Coturnix japonica: one gene and its partners. The protein of the gene in region 1 purifies or fractionates together with the protein of each later gene. This does not show direct contact. Links are inferred from orthologs where the notes say so. Each region holds a gene or a part of one and is shown in the gene's direction. Other genes may lie near its edges. The genes, in order: STAT1, SRC and PIAS1.

Evidence for each region.
Region 2: the proteins of STAT1 (region 1) and SRC purify together in Homo sapiens (affinity purification with western blotting; 3 studies listed by BioGRID). This does not show direct contact. The link is inferred for Coturnix japonica from reciprocal best matches to the Homo sapiens genes STAT1 and SRC.
Region 3: the proteins of STAT1 (region 1) and PIAS1 purify together in Homo sapiens (affinity purification with western blotting; 5 studies listed by BioGRID). This does not show direct contact. The link is inferred for Coturnix japonica from reciprocal best matches to the Homo sapiens genes STAT1 and PIAS1.

The regions. Positions count from the first base shown.
Region 1 is NC_029522.1:2,024,387-2,030,002, forward strand, and holds the start of STAT1 (signal transducer and activator of transcription 1-alpha/beta), read left to right. Parts: upstream 1-1,903; 5' UTR 1,904-1,956; coding exon 1,957-2,030; intron 2,031-2,884; coding exon 2,885-3,013; intron 3,014-3,647; coding exon 3,648-3,792; intron 3,793-4,727; coding exon 4,728-4,826; intron 4,827-4,832; exon of another isoform or gene 4,833-5,616. UniProt on the Homo sapiens protein: Signal transducer and transcription activator that mediates cellular responses to interferons (IFNs), cytokine KITLG/SCF and other cytokines and other growth factors.
Region 2 is NC_029535.1:4,452,492-4,457,402, forward strand, and holds the end of SRC (proto-oncogene tyrosine-protein kinase Src), read left to right. Parts: coding exon 1-24; intron 25-809; coding exon 810-959; intron 960-1,359; coding exon 1,360-1,515; intron 1,516-1,603; coding exon 1,604-1,783; intron 1,784-1,854; coding exon 1,855-1,931; intron 1,932-2,066; coding exon 2,067-2,220; intron 2,221-2,335; coding exon 2,336-2,467; intron 2,468-2,545; coding exon 2,546-2,754; 3' UTR 2,755-4,247; downstream 4,248-4,911. UniProt on the Homo sapiens protein: Non-receptor protein tyrosine kinase which is activated following engagement of many different classes of cellular receptors including immune response receptors, integrins and other adhesion receptors, receptor protein tyrosine kinases, G protein-coupled receptors as well as cytokine receptors.
Region 3 is NC_029525.1:17,354,869-17,360,364, forward strand, and holds the end of PIAS1 (E3 SUMO-protein ligase PIAS1), read left to right. Parts: intron 1-394; coding exon 395-537; intron 538-874; coding exon 875-912; intron 913-2,415; coding exon 2,416-2,712; 3' UTR 2,713-4,489; downstream 4,490-5,496. UniProt on the Homo sapiens protein: Functions as an E3-type small ubiquitin-like modifier (SUMO) ligase, stabilizing the interaction between UBE2I and the substrate, and as a SUMO-tethering factor. Catalyzes sumoylation of various proteins, such as CEBPB, MRE11, MTA1, PTK2 and PML.

The DNA.
Region 1 (5,616 bases):
GAAACACTCTTTCTGGGCACTGCTGAAATATCAGAGTAGATATTAAATCACCAAACACGTCTCAGTAGTTGATCAGTCACAGTGATTCAAAGCTATGTAGATCCACATTTATACTTGCAAAGCATCACATAGAGAACCTAAACAACAATCATTGTGTATCTATGTCTGATAACAAACTGTAATTTATACCACAAGTATGGATAAAAACACACTTAGGCTTTAAGTTGGACACCTGAGCTTATGCGGATTTCTTCAATATAAAACAAAGACCTGTGGCATCTATCATCTAAGCATGAAAAGACCTTTGAGACCACTTCAGGCTGAGCACGCATCTAAACTACAGCTACACAGACTCCAACAGCAGCAAACAAAACTTGACCCCACACTGCATGCTTTCTTATCCTGACCTCTTTTCACTATCTTAATACTAACAAAATGGATACTGGCCATCTAAAGGTCATGAGAAATACAGTTTAAAAAGGGAGGGAGGGCAGACACAACATGCAAATCACTCTTGTTCTCTACCCTTTCTGCTCCCTGTACAACTCAATGATTTTTCTTGTATGGCTTAATAAGATTGCTGATAAGGTTTTGCTATTAGTTGTCTTTGTTGGTTTAATTGGAAGGCCTGCTACTGCAGCTCTGTTTGCTACTTCAAAGAGACAAACGTTATTGTCTTTATAATGAATTTATACTGGACAAATCTTGTTCCACAAAGAAAACACACCCCACTAATGAGAACGTGTCCCTGTATGAGATGAGGGTTCAAAGAAAGGAAGTAAATGGCAAAAAAAACAAGAAAAGCAAGTCAAAAGGGACACTCTCACATGCTGCTACAGCAGATGACATCTGCTCTCCAGCACTTTTACTAACAGTGCTTACGCTTTCACTGGGTTTCACAGCTGCAAAATCAGAAATAACAGGAAAAGAACCCAACAGCACTGTGCTGTGCTTTGTGCCCTGCCCTACTACCACACGGTTTCAAATTCAATGTAAAAACCTATTAGCTACCATTTTCCTACTGGTTTGATATATAAAGAACTCAGATTCATACCAGTAATCAGGGCTACCAGACAAAAACTTACCAGCACATCTTCTATTTACCCATCTCTTCTACCAGCTAAGAAGGTTTCCCTGTTTGAGGGGAGCGGGAGATACAAACTACAACCAAAAAAGACCCAAGCACTCCCCATTAGGTTTATACACTTTACTGACCATTCACAAACACTTTGGAACACTCTGGTAAATAACTCAGCCTACCCAAAGAAATTGAGTGTATTTTCTCTATGCATCAAGGAAGAATGTTCATTTGGCAAACTCCTGCCTTTCCAGAGCCTCAGGATTTATCTTCTAAATAATCTTCATAGGGGAAAAAAAGAAGCAACAGAAAAGAACCCAGGTTTTAACATAAGCCAAGATTGTCTAGAGTTACTTATACCAACACAGCCCTACATGTCCTAACAAGGCAACGAGCTGCAATAAGGATGAAATGTGAGATAATGAAGCCTCCATATCAGTTATTTACTAGGATGAAAGCTCTCAGCCGGCCAAACACCGGGCACAATTAAAACCCTCAGCTGTTATTAAGCAGACCTCCATCCAAGTCTCTGTCTGTTGGACGGAAATCTGGGTTAATTTATTAACAGCCCGAGATACGATTGTACAGTCTATCAATGCAAACAAAGGCCAAGATGGCGGCGCTGTGCCTGTGGTGTCGCTTTCGGTTTCGCCTTCCCGCCAAGCGGCCCGTTCCGGTCGCAGGGAGCCTTTCCCAGAAGTCACGTGGTGCAGCGCCGCCTCACAGCGCCGTCACTACGCATGCGCAAAGCACCACAGCGAGTCCCAGAAGAAACGCGGAAGAAAAAGTGAAGGGGGCGGGGCTTAGGGCGGCACCGCGCGTGCTCATTGGCCCGGGCGGTGTGGGCCGGGCTCCTATTGGCCCTGCGGTGTATCCCCATGGCCGCGGCCGGGAGGGTATTTGTGGGAGCGGGGAAGGGGAGAGAGCGGAGCGGGACGGGTAGTGCCAGCGGGTGAGTACGGGATGGGGTGGGGGTAAATTAGCATCTGATCGCCGTTATAGCCAGCTGTGAGCCTTGGAACCATAACCTGGGGGGTAGGAGAAGGCTGGGGGGGACCTGAGAGCGACCCGCTCTGCGAAGGAAGGGGATATGCTCTTCAATAGGGTCTGTTGTGATGGGATGAGGGGAGAGATTGGAGCTGAATACAGAGAGACAAAACTGCTTCTAAAGAATCTCAGCAATATCAACCCTAATATTCAAGCCAAAAATCATATACAAAAAGAGAAAAGAATCAGACTCACCCAGCTGATGAAGGGGCTCCCTGGCAATGCAGCACTCCTATACGAAGCAGCCCAGATCCAAACGATGCTCTCTCTTCAGTGGCTGGTATTTATATGAGCCATAGGGCTCCACTCTCAGCCCACCCTCCTGCTCAGCTGGGAGCACAGGTGAACACTGTCTGTACTCCCTTAGGCAGACACAGCCCTGACCTATCAGCTCCCCTGTAAGCAACTACAGTACAGTCACAGTGCTGATACTGATTGAGAAAGGAGCGTGTATGGAGGGTAAAAAACGCAGCTTTTCATAGGGAAGAGTGTTTGAAGTGTTGACTGACTTCTGTTGATGCAATTAACAGTCTTAATTGGCAGCTTTTGGAATTCAAAGCAGCGCAGAAGATGTTAAGTGATGTTTTGATCGTTCAGTGATTCCATTTCACCTCAAAACAGAACGTGCTTCTGTTCCAATTTCCTTCCGTTTTACCGTGACCTCCAGATTTATGGGTTTAATGAAAGCCTGGAATGAGTCATTTTGCACCACTTCAGCTCTAACGGTACCTTAAGCTGCTTTTATTCCCCGCTTCCCAGGATGACTCAGTGGTATCAGCTACAACAACTGGACTCCAAGTTTTTGGAGCAAGTTCACCAGCTGTACGATGACAGCTTCCCTATGGAGATCAGGCAGTACCTGGCACAGTGGCTGGAAAACCAGGATTGGTAAGCATAGAAATTGACCTTTGGGTTATAGGATAATAAACGTTACACAGAGAGGGACAGGTGGCAGCAGAGTACTGGGGAAGAAAGCTGCTAGGGACGTGGGGACACCTATGCTGGTAGGATGCTTTGAGAGCTGTGCAGCTCATAGACTTGAGGAGGGGTGGGAATCTAGTCTGTGTAGGGGAGGCCTGATGTCTAGAGTAACAATTGCCCCACTTAATGTTTTCTTTAGTTAATCTCAACCAAAAGCAGGTGTTTTAAGGCAGTCAGTTTGCCTGGCACCTCAGGCTCTCACCATTCACAGACTCAGAACTGTTTTCCAACGTTCCTATGGAGTGTTGTTTAGCACTGCATGGTGTGTGTATGCATCAGGGTCACTTCTAGCTTCCTGATGCACATGGAAAGGGTCAGTGATGTCACACAAAACGTGGCAAAGGCAGCACAGAAGAACAGCAGTTCTCTATTGAGGAAAGTGAAGCAGAAGGTGAGAGGATGAGGCTGACGTGTTTGAAAGCAGTTCTTCCTGCTCACGTATATTACAACTGGAGCTGGGGATCAATACAACGTTCTCTGTAGTGCATTTTGAGTGCTGGTTGAAAGCATTTAACACAAGCATGCTTGCAATTTATTCTAGGGAACACGCGGCCAACAATGTGTCATTTGCTACGGTGCTATTCCATGACCTGCTGTCACAGCTCGATGATCAATTTAGCCGATTTTTGATAGAAAACAACTTCTTGCTGCAACACAACATAAGGAAAAGCAAACGTAATCTTCAGGTATGCCCAGGCACGTGTTTAAATACCTTTGGTGCTGGAGTTGGATGTCCCCAAGCAGAATATTCTGCCCTGAGGGATTTTCCAGAGAGTATTCGAGAGCCTTAATTTAACAAGTCAGATTCCAAACGTGACTCCATTTTTATTTTAACTTGGCTATGGTTACAAAGTTACTTTCATTAACAGTACAAGTTATGGTTTCTGAGAACTCAAAACCAGAAGTTGCTGTATGCAAGGGTCTGTAATAGGAGCATGCAAGGAGCATGTAATTGGAGTACCTTAGGGAATGCAGCTTTGCTTACCCCAACCCTTCCCAGAGCAGTTTCTTGTCTCAATAAATCACTGATGCAGAAGAAACACAGGAGAATAAATCCTTAAACATAGCTACAGAACCACAATAAAAAACAGGGAATCTGTCACTTGTGTACATCACATTATTCTGACAAAGAAAAGGATGAAGCAGTGGGTAGTGGATAGCACTGCAGAATCTATTTGTGGTCTCCATTACTTCCCTTGTCTCTGTGTTCCCAAGTGGCAGCAAATGTCCCTTCTTTATCTTCCCAAGTGAAAGCAGCACCTGTCAAGCTATAACTCCTCTTTAAAAACTGCAGCTATGCCTCCAAGGTGTGGAGGTGTGGCTCTCAAAGCTGTCTCCAGCACTACAGTGTAAAACAGCTTACTCTGTGCCTTCTTACAGTAACATCTCCAGCCCTATGTCATTGTTACATGACAAGTCCCATCAACTCTTTGTACCCTAACAAAACAAAGTAATACACCAAGCAGAGAAACTGCTTCCTAGAGCTGGCTACAGTCCATGTAGTCTCAAAGCAAGATACAACTCGGGCTTAACCCGACACATGTTATTCTTGTCAGTTGATTTAATGAAATACAAGAGATTACACGTATTAAGTTTAACAATAGCCCATGTCTAACACCAGGATAACTTCCAAGAAGACCCAATACACATGGCAATGATCATCCACAACTGCCTGAAAGAGGAGAGGAAAATACTGAACAGTGCACAGTTGTCTAATCAGGTAAGTTAGTTTTGAAATGTCCACTGCAGTCGTGTCTGCCCTTTCCTATTACTTGGGATACCAGCGGGTTTGAGTAGCGTGAGCTATTCAGATGGGAAAGGGCCAGAAAGTGATCTTGATTCTTCCTTCCTTTTCCATTTTACTCTTGATTTACTGTTTATTGAGCAGCTGAGCACTAGTGGGTCTCTGGACTGCCTTGGAAAGTGATACTACTCTTCCTTCCCAGCTACACTCAATTTTACGTTTATGTTTTAAACTGAACTGCTGAGCCATAGGCAGAGCGTATTCTTCTCCTCATCATTATTTTGGCAGTGCATCTGTTTGGATTTTCCCTTCCAAGAACTGTGTTGCAATAAAAAATTCCACAGTTAGAAAAGCCATGTAAACTACAGAGCCAGATCCAACCTGCTAATGAAATTAAATGATACCTGACTGAGCCTGTTATGTTCTGAGACAGAAATTCTTCACTTTGCAGCACATTTTTGACAGTGTTATAGAGAGAACTAAGAGCATTAGAGCACAGGCTTTCATCAGTTATCTTAATGCAGCTGCGTCCAAAATAGCTCCCTTAGATATGCAACTCTGGCAAAGCCATTTCCAGATACTTTCCTCATAGCTGCAGTGCAGCTGGCAGTTTCTGTATTGGCTTATGACACAAAGCACCCAAAACTTCCTTTTCAGCATCCCAGATGTTTCTATTAATAATAATTTTAAAAAAGGAAATAAATCTTCTTCCACATATTGTTGGTGCTACATAAAACACCATACCCTACCCTCTGATTTATTGTAA
Region 2 (4,911 bases), on another chromosome or scaffold:
TCCGGGAGAGCGAGACAACAAAAGGTAACCCCCAAATCCCCCTTCCCTCCTCCCCCTCACTTCTGGGAGCAGCCCTGTAGGGGTCCTCCAGCACTTGGTCACCATGTCGTCCCAATCCCCCTGACACAGGTTTACCAAAGGAGATGAGCCTCCTGCTCTGCATTCACCCACAGTTTCACACGTTTTGCTTTTATAGATGTCCCGTTCCCACTCTGTTCTTGTCCGAGCTGGAGGCAGAGGTGTCCCATGCATGACATCCTGGTTTACCCACTAATGGTTTCCCCACTGATGTGCCCATGTAACTCTGAAGTGTTGGGAACAACACCATGTCCTCTCCTGGGCTTTTTTGTGCATTCTTTTTGTCCCTAGGCAAATGAGTTCTGTTCTTTCCTAACCTCTGTCTAATGGCAAAATCTCACTTGTGAGGAACTAAGTGGAGGCAATGATGGATTTTTAGGCTCCTCTTTCAAGGCTATAGACTCTTTATCCTTGTTTTGTTCCTCCCAAATGTGTAAGTTTGATCCCAAGAGCTTGGCTTTCTGAGGATGCTGAGGAGGTTTAGATTACACATAAGGAAAAACTTTTTCTCTCAGAGAGTGGTCAGGCACTGGAATGGCTGCACAGGGAGGTGGTGGAGCTGCCATCCCTGGCACTGTTCAAGAGGCATCTGGATGAGGAGCTACGAGATCTGGTTTAGTGGCTTGTGGTATCAGTGATGATGGGAGGATGGTTGGACTGGATGATCTTGTAGGTCCTTTCCAACCTTGTGATTCTATGATTCTGTGATTCTTACTCTGTTGTGCCCTCAGGTGCCTATTGCCTCTCCGTTTCCGACTTCGACAACGCCAAGGGGCTCAATGTGAAGCACTACAAGATCCGCAAGCTGGACAGCGGCGGCTTCTACATCACCTCGCGCACACAGTTCGGCAGCCTGCAGCAGCTGGTGGCCTACTACTCCAGTGCGTATGGCCAGAGCCCCTGCCCACATCCCTTGGGGTCTGGGTGATGCCAGGGGGGGTTTGGGTTGGGTATTGGGAAGAGTTTGTTTATGGATGGGTGGTAGTGGTGGAGACCTCATCCATGGAGGTGTTTGAGGTATGTGGATGTGGAGCTAAGGGACGTGTCTTAGCGATGGGGTGCTTGGACTTGGGGATATTGATCCTCTTTTCCAACCTTGATGGTTTTATGAAGGGAATGCCAGTGCAGGAGCTGAAGCAGGTGGGCAGACCCTGGTGAAACACCACTTGGGTTTGAGAAAGAGGGGAAGGTGTCTGAGTTTGGGTGCCCAAGGTGTTGTGCAGGGAAGACGTCGTGCACCCAAATACCAAAGCATCACTTGTGTTGTCCCTGCTGCACTAGAACATGCTGATGGCTTGTGCCACCGCCTGACCAATGTCTGCCCCACGTCCAAGCCCCAGACCCAAGGACTCGCCAAGGATGCGTGGGAAATTCCCCGGGAGTCGCTGCGGCTGGAGGTGAAGCTGGGGCAGGGCTGCTTTGGAGAGGTCTGGATGGGTAAGGACAGCCACATGCAGCGTCATCATCCGCATCAGTAGGGAAGCAGGTGTGGAACGCAGCCTTGTAAACATGTCTTGTGCTGCAGGGACCTGGAACGGCACCACCAGAGTGGCCATAAAGACTCTGAAGCCCGGCACGATGTCCCCAGAAGCCTTCCTGCAGGAAGCACAAGTGATGAAGAAGCTCCGGCATGAGAAGCTGGTTCAGCTGTACGCTGTGGTGTCAGAGGAGCCCATCTACATCGTCACTGAGTACATGAGCAAGGGTGAGCACAGCAGGGCTGCTGGGTGGCCAGGGGATGGTACTGCCCATTGGTGACCGCTGTCTTCCTCGCAGGGAGCCTCCTAGACTTCCTGAAGGGAGAGATGGGCAAGTACCTGCGGCTGCCACAGCTCGTCGATATGGCTGCTCAGGTGGGTTCCTGCTTCCTATTCCTCTTGCACCCTGGCTCCCATCAGCTGGATCGGTTCTGGCTGTGGAGCCATTCCCACTGTGGTTGGGGTCCTCTTGTCCCCTGCAAAGCCCAGTCCCCACACTCTGCCCTATAGATTGCGTCTGGCATGGCCTATGTGGAGAGGATGAACTATGTGCACCGAGACCTGCGGGCAGCCAACATCCTGGTGGGGGAGAACCTGGTGTGCAAGGTGGCTGACTTTGGGCTGGCACGTCTCATCGAGGACAACGAGTACACAGCACGGCAAGGTGTGAGCGGGGCACGGGTAGTGGGACTAGAGGTTGGTTTGATGCCCCAGGCCATGAGGTTGGGGGTCTGCGGGCTGTGGATGGGAGCAGCCCCTCACTCTGCCTCCCTGCCCAGGTGCCAAGTTCCCCATCAAGTGGACAGCCCCCGAGGCAGCCCTGTATGGCCGATTCACCATCAAGTCAGATGTTTGGTCCTTCGGCATCCTGCTGACTGAGCTGACCACCAAGGGCCGGGTGCCATACCCAGGTGAGAGCTGGCACCAACCCCACACCCCATGGGCTGGGCACAGTGCGTGACCCGGCCCCACTGCCCTTCTTTCCACAGGGATGGTCAATAGGGAGGTGCTGGACCAGGTGGAGCGGGGCTACCGCATGCCTTGCCCACCCGAGTGCCCTGAATCACTGCATGACCTCATGTGCCAGTGCTGGCGGAAGGACCCTGAGGAGCGGCCCACCTTTGAGTACCTGCAGGCCTTCCTGGAGGACTACTTCACCTCGACAGAGCCCCAGTACCAGCCTGGAGAGAACCTATAGGCCTGGAGCTCCTCTTGGTGCCAGAGGCTTCGCTGTGGGGCGCAGAGGGCTGGCTCTGTGCAGAGGGGCCACGTTTTGAGGAGCAGCCCCAGAGCAAGATGCGGCATGGTGAGGTGTCGGGTGCCCCATTGCTCATTAAAACTGCTGGGCCACCCTTAACGAGGTGGCGAGAGGAGCCCCGGGCACTGCCACCAGCGGAACTGAGGCTCAGGATGGCGAATGGAGCAGCAGGATGGCTGCTGGCACAGCTGTGGCTTACAGGACCCTGTTCTCACAGCAGCCAGAGAAATGGGGGGATAGCCCCTCCCTCCTCAGACACACTGCCCCACACCTCCCGCACCCCCTTTTTTAAATCAGCACAAATTTCTTCACCCATTCACCCACCCACTTCACTCTGGTCTGCACGAGGCTGTTTGCAGAGACATTTGGTGCTGGGGAAGGCACTGCTTTGGGTCGGATGCAGCTGGAGAGCAGACCTTGGGATGCCCCGTGGAGCCTGGTGGTCTCCCTCCAGCAACCACCCATCCTCGGGCACAGGGTTCAGTGTCTGGGGGAACTACTTGTCTTTCAGCACTGCTTTTGTCCACCGATGTGTTTCTAGCCACCATCCCCCCTGCTTCTGCCATCCGCTTATCAGGGAGCATGGAGCGTCTGGGAGCCATTTACAGACCCAGCTGCTCCCTGCTCGCTCCCAGTACCATGTGTTGGAGGTCAGAGCAATCCATGCTCAGCCTGGTACCCACAGCAGCTCCCACTGAGCACCCCTGTACATAGCCCTCCAGCACCTCCCATTACCTGACCAAGCTATGTGTGCTGTCACTGTGGTACCAACATCTGTCCTTGTCTGTGCCCAGCTGGAGCCCCTCATCACACCATCACCACCTGTGTCCTGAACCTCCTATCCATTGCTCACACCCAGTGCCAAAAACACCTCCAGAGAACCAAGCTGAGCCGCTGCTGCCTCCCACTTGTTCCCAGGCGTCTTATTTATTACCTGAGTTCTCAGTCGGTGGCTCTGTTTTAATAGTGAACTCAGTGCAAAGGGGCTCGTAGCAGTATGGAGGGATCCCACTTTTGGCTTGGAGGGCTGTTCCCATGGATTTCTGTACTCACAATGGGAATTGGAGCCCTTCATCCCTTGTCACGTTTCCCTTGGTGCAGGTCCTGCTGCACCCCAGCGCTCACAGCCTTTAAACCTCCACACCCCACGATGTTTGTGTGCCATCACCACACAGTGTGCACAGTGCCTGCATCCCCAGGGGAAAGCTCTGAGAGCAGCACGTGGGGACGGGCAGTAGCCAGATGTGAGCCAAGAGCTGAGCAGAGGGAACAAAGGCAAACACACACATGGACACACAGCCTTTGGGCTCCCATAGCATGGAGCAGGGCTGGGGGCTGCTGGCCCACCTGTGCTCCACAGAGCCCCCGTGCCATCCCCTCCATTGCTGGTCTGTTGCTGAAGCCAGTAGAGGGTTACCCACCCCCCACCCCCAGTGATGCTCTTTGGTACAAAGCAGCCCCGTGTGAGATGTTCTGCTGGTACCATTTTATAAAGTGTTTTGTAACATCTCCCACTGACTATGCACAGGGTGCGTGGATCTGTTTCTCTCCCCCCAGCCCAACACCTCCACCCCCCCAACCTGTTTCAGTGTCAAAGTAAGAAATATTTAGCTTTTTTTTTTTTTTTTTAAATCTTTGGAAAATCCTGACCATGTCCGGCGTGGGGGGTGGTGGGGGATGGAGATGCTTTGAATCTCTCATGATGTTGTTGTAAATACTTTGCAATTTGATAATTAAAGACAAACAGACCTCACCAAACAGATCGCTGTGGGTTGTGTGTGGTGAAGGAGGACCCCTTGGCATCCCCAAAGGGCATCCAGCCCTGCATGTGGCTCTCAGGATTGTCTTGGGGGGGGGTGATATCTGCCAGGGGTAGGAGGAAAACTATGGGGCATGCAGAGCTTTTGTCCCTTATCCATCTGCCCTGGGACACCCCTGTCTGTGCTGATTGCAGCCTCCTTCAGCTGTTGCTCAGTGAGCTGGCTGGGAGCAGGCTTGCTTCATTAGGGTAATTAGTGGATGCTGATTGGAATCCCTCAGTTGGTGATGAAGTAATTGATTTGTGGGAATAGGCCTTCAGAGAGTGGGGCTGTGGCT
Region 3 (5,496 bases), on another chromosome or scaffold:
TCCCATCAGTTTCTTCTGTTAAGACTGAGCTTTTCTTTGCTGTAATTTTGCTGAACTTCAGCTTGTTGGCAATCTGGAACAGAATCAGTTTTCTGATTTAGAAACTTAATTGCAAGAAAAAAAGCTTGGGGAGCATGTGACGCTCAACTTCTCCCCTGCAAGACTCGCTGAGGTATAGCAGCATCTTGATGCTTTCTAGTGAAGCTCTGAAACTTATCAGGGGAGCTGTTATATGCCAGTCACGATGCTCATGGTGTGTACTGAGATGGTTAAATTTGAGAATAGGCATGCCCTGCATGGGACAGCAGTAGAAACATAGGGATCTTTAAATGATGTACTTATAGTCTTGGCTTTAAGGTTAAATTTTACTCTTTAAACCTTTTACTTTTGCTAGCATTTTGAATTTACCCCATCAAGCATCTCCTGTGTCAAGAACACCAAGCCTTCCTGCTGTTGACACCAGTTACATCAACACATCGCTTATCCAAGACTACAGGCATCCATTCCATATGACACCTATGCCTTATGACTTGCAAGGTAAGCTGCTGGCTGTTTGTAACTATAGGTACAACTCTCTGAGCTATTGTGACTGTTACAGAAGGATTCAAACAGACTGTTTCACAGTCCAGTTATGCAAAATAATATTTTTACAACCACGGAAAACAAAGTGGTATTGTAAGAGAAAGAAGGTTTAGGTTAGTATCTTAAGGTGTTAAAAGTCTGATTTCTCCCAAGGTCTGGTGGTAAAGAGAGTCTGAAGTGTCATTAGTTTTATGCTGGTTCAATTTATTTCATTTCAAAATTTGGTGGGAGAAATTGGGAGGTACTTTTTTTGTTTTGAGAAGCCTGACTCTTTTTCTTTGGCTCTTTTCAGGTTTAGATTTCTTCCCTTTCCTGTCAGGAGACAATCAGGTAAGTTAAGGAAAATCAAACCATCTGGCAGATTGCTTTTCTGATAAGGACTTGCTGACTTGGATGTATAGGCGAGGAAAGAGCAGATCTGTAACACAGGTGTGAGTGCAGGCAGACTGTACCTCTTTTGTGCACATAGGATGTAACCAGACATAAGCATTATCCTAAATACAGATGCATGATAAGGCATAACAGCAGACAAAGACTTTTCTTCAAGGGCTTCAAGCTAGTTAGCTGCAGGTATATTGCAGGATGACCCTTGGCTGTGGCTGAAAATGCACACTTTTACATACTTTAAGTTAGTGTGATCTTTCTCCATCTGACCATGTTAGGCCCCATCACTGGGTCTCTTGACAGTGCTCTATGCAATTTTGAGAGTCAGGGCAGCTCCTTTTATTTTCCTCTTCCCCTGAGGCTGTGTGCCTGCTCACACTGCTTGCTGCTTTCCTGTAAGCACTTACTGAAATGAACTAGATTTGGTGCTGGCTTCTGCAGTTCGGGGAACTAAAAAGATGGTTCTCAAAAGGTTTGGTGAATTCTCCCACTTGGTCACTACCCCTTCAGTGCTTCCCAGCAAAGAAGAGGGTTGGGGTGGTTCACCACCTTTCTTCCCTCCATTCCTGTTCAGCACTCTCAGGTAGGAGAATGGGACTAAAAACAAGGGGACTTCCATGTCATTGCAAAGTCCAGAGCCTGTTTAACAGAACTTGGATTCAGAGAAGCTTTCTTCATATTCAGTAAAAAGACAGACATGAGAATAATTCTGAAATGAGTATTGCCAAAGTCTGGTGTTGCACTGGCAAGGCATAGTTGTACCAGTGCTCGAGTGCCAGGAAACAAGGCTAAATGACGTGTGTGGATGTTTCCTTGTAGTTAAAACAAATATAAAGAGCAGAAGCACCATACAGATAAATAACATTTAAAATCCGACCTTGATAATTGAAGTTCTTGCCTTTTGGGTGCTGCCTGTCAAAGAGTGTCACTTCAGACGGCCTTTGCTGCCTCCTGATGGGCCTAAACATATTTCCCATATTTCTAAATGTATTTTTCACAGGGAAGAACTGTTTCTCTCTCCACCAGCAGTGATTAGCCCATAGTTTTACCAGCTGTAGTTGATGACTAATGAGCAGAGGGATGGCAAAATGATTCTTTGAATTTTGGGGAATTTTTCCACCAAGGAGTTGTATGGAGAGGTACAAGTGCTTCTGCTTGACATTTCTCACTGTTCGGCTGTCTTGCAATGCCACTACCTTTCTAGTGTTTTTTCTTACTAATTGCCAGTATTTCCCATTCCTTTTGGCTCTGAAATTCAGAGGCTGCAGAAGTAAAAGATCACTGCATCGATCCGTTTACCTTACAGAAAGGTTGAGTGGGCGAGCTGGTGTGAAACCCAGAAGCTGTCAGAGCTGTAGCTTACAAATATATTCTTTTTTTTTTTGCTGGTCTGAATCAAAACAATGGTGTCTGAAATGTAACTTGCAAATGTTGTTTTTCCCCCCCCAGCATTACAACACATCCCTTCTTGCTGCTGCAGCTGCGGCAGTTTCCGCATCAGATGATCAAGAACTCTTACACTCTCGTTTTTTCCCATACACTTCATCTCAGATGTTTCTCGATCAGCTAAATGCAGGAGGAAGCAGTTCTCTGCCAGCCACAAACGGTAGCAATAGTGGCAGTAACAGCAGTCTTGTTTCCTCCAACAGCCTGCGAGAGAATCATGGTCATCCAGTTGCAAGTAGGAGCGGCGCGGACACGGCGTCTATCTTTGGTATCATATCAGACATTATTTCGTTGGACTGATTTTTGGAGAAAACGAACTTGTCAGAGGAAGTCTTTGTGCTTGGTTTTACTTTATGTTAGAAACATAGACAGGTTTTTTTCCTTTTTTAGGGAAAAAAATTTACATGTACAGAGAACAAAACTATATTTTCAGTTTTACTTTTGTATATAAACCTAAGATGGCCTCACTGATAAAAAAAATAACAAAATAAATAAATAAATAAATGCCACAACACAAAGCAGAACACACACACAAAAACCCACAAAAACAAGGAACTTGGATTTAATGGATGCTGAAGATTCAACACCTGTGCATTTGTCATGTGAGTTACTTATTTCTTTTGCCCTTAGTTTGGACACAAATGGCATTATTTTCTTCACAGTAACAGAAATGGGAAAAGGAACTGAACTTCTGAAGTTCAAACTTCTGGGTTGTTTTTTTTCTTTTTCTTTTTTTTTTTGCCTCTTGGAGACACCTGTATTTGGTGGTGGAATGGAATTCCCCCATCCCATTTTAGTGCAGATTTTGTTGTGCTCGATGTGGAATAAACCCTACCCAGCCTGTTCCGCACCGTTCCCTCTGTTTGCAGTACGTAGCCTTTCAGGAGTGTTTATTTGTCATTTCTTGTTCTATGTGACCCTCTGTTTGGCTGACTTTCTTTTTAATTCCGTGCTTTAATCAAGCATGTTGTGAGCTTGTTAGTGCACCAATTATTCTGGAGGGCCAGACTCAATAAAATGTCAGGCTGAGAAGTTGTTTGGCTGTGTTATGTGGGACAAGACCAAATTCATATAGAATCCAGCCCCAGAGAAAAGCATCGACACATCTGACTGTAGGTTTTTGTTTCTAACAACTTACTATGAAATCCTTTTAAGATAACTTAAGATCCTACTCACAATATTCAGCATGTGTCAGTTTGAAATGTGTGGAGCTGCTTGTGCTTTAAGATCAGCCACGCGTGTAGGACTGGCCCACTGGGTTGGGCCTGTCTCCTGGCTTGGAAAACCTCCTTTTAGCTGCAGTAGATCAAATTTCTGCTTAAAAGTGAACTTGTCAGCAAAAGGAAGAAAATACAAATGCCGACGCTCTATTGCATGGTTGGTGCAGCCGATAATGGTCTTGGTTTGCTGTCTTCTGAGTTCTCCTTCACCCAAGTTGGTATTAAATGTTTAATGTGAGTCTGTTAAGCCAAAAAAGAAGCCCAGTGCCCTTCCCTGCACTTAAATGAATCTCTGCCTATTGAAGTCTCTCTTAGGGTTGTGGGGTTCCCATTCAGTTTTCTCTTTATGGCTTGGTGGTTATTTTGATTCCCCGTTCCTTTCAGTTCCCTTCCATCACACTTGGAGCCACGTTTGCTTCCTGGTTTCGTTTCTTTCTTCACTTTTTCAGCTGTGTGTGACATAGGAAAACCTTTTTTTAAGAGCTGGTGGATCATTTGGGCTGATCCGTTCTTGTTACAGAGAAACGTGTAAATAGCTGGAATGCAGTTTTTCAGGAGATTCTTTAAAGTGAGAGCAGGGGGAGGGGAGGAGGTGATTCTGTTGTGTCCCAAAGTCCCATCAGAGAGAAGTGATTTCCTCTGGTGTGAAAGCTATTTTTGTAACTGGTTGGAAGTGCAGGTAACAGGTTTATCAGGAAAGAGAGTGAGGAATACAGAGGTTAGCAGATGCTTGTCTGAGTTTTTAATGTCCCAAGCTGCTGATTGCAGCTATAGTTGCTTTGAGCATTGACGAGGGCCACCTTTTGCCTATGAAGTTGTCTCAAAATATTGCATTAATTACAAAAAGGAAAAAAAAAAAAAAAAGAAAATAAGAAAAAAAAAAGGAAAAAAAAAAAAAAAAAAAAAAGACAAAAAAAAGCAAAAACACGTTAATCCAAGTAGCATTAGGTATTGCTGTATGATCAGTTGTATGGTTCTTTGAAAGGTTCACACGATTACGTGGCATCAAAATTGTTTCTAGTGTTTTTACAGCATCCCTCTGCCACTAAATAGTTGACTTGAATTTTGGAAACAAATGTTTGTGTTTATATGTATATGTGTGTGTATATATGTATTTATAGATCTGTGTGTGTGAGTTAAAAGTGAGTTAAATAGTTTTTCCCATGCATGTGTATTTCATACATATCTGGCTGATATATATATATATATATATATTTCACCATACACCAATTTTATAATTTATTAAATGTCAGTTAAAAAAAAATAAAATAAAAGGATAGAAAATGGGAAATACTTATTTTTTAAACTCAGTCTGATTTCAAAGTGATTAAACCTACATGAGGAATATGTCTCATACATTTTAGTTGTGAGTACTGACCCGGTACCCGCAGAGCAGCCGCGCCGTGTCTGTTCCTTTTGTAAAGCGGAGCAGCCAGGGACGTTTGCAGAGCTGAGCGAGGCGTGCAGTGTGTTCCCACTGACTGTACAGAAGAGGAGCTGAGGAGCAGCCCGCGCCCGTTCCCACCACGGTATTCCAGTCTTTTTAATTCACATATAAAACCAGTCGCGGCAAGAGTGTGGTAAGACGGGATCTGGCATCTTGCTGCCCGCGCATGGAGAGTGAGGCTGCACGGTGATGTCTTCCACTCCTCCCGCCTTGCCCCAAGGGAAGGAAGGCTGCTCAGTTTGCTGCTGCTGTCTCCAACCTCGTTGCTCTGCAAAGAAGGGAGAGAAACGTTCCCGAAACTCTTTGCGGTGTGAATCCCGTGTGTTGGAATATTCATGTTTCACGCCGGGCTGTGCTGTATGGTCCATAATCTCTGTGCCTCTGACCACAGTTAACGTGACTTGGTAGAAGTCTCAG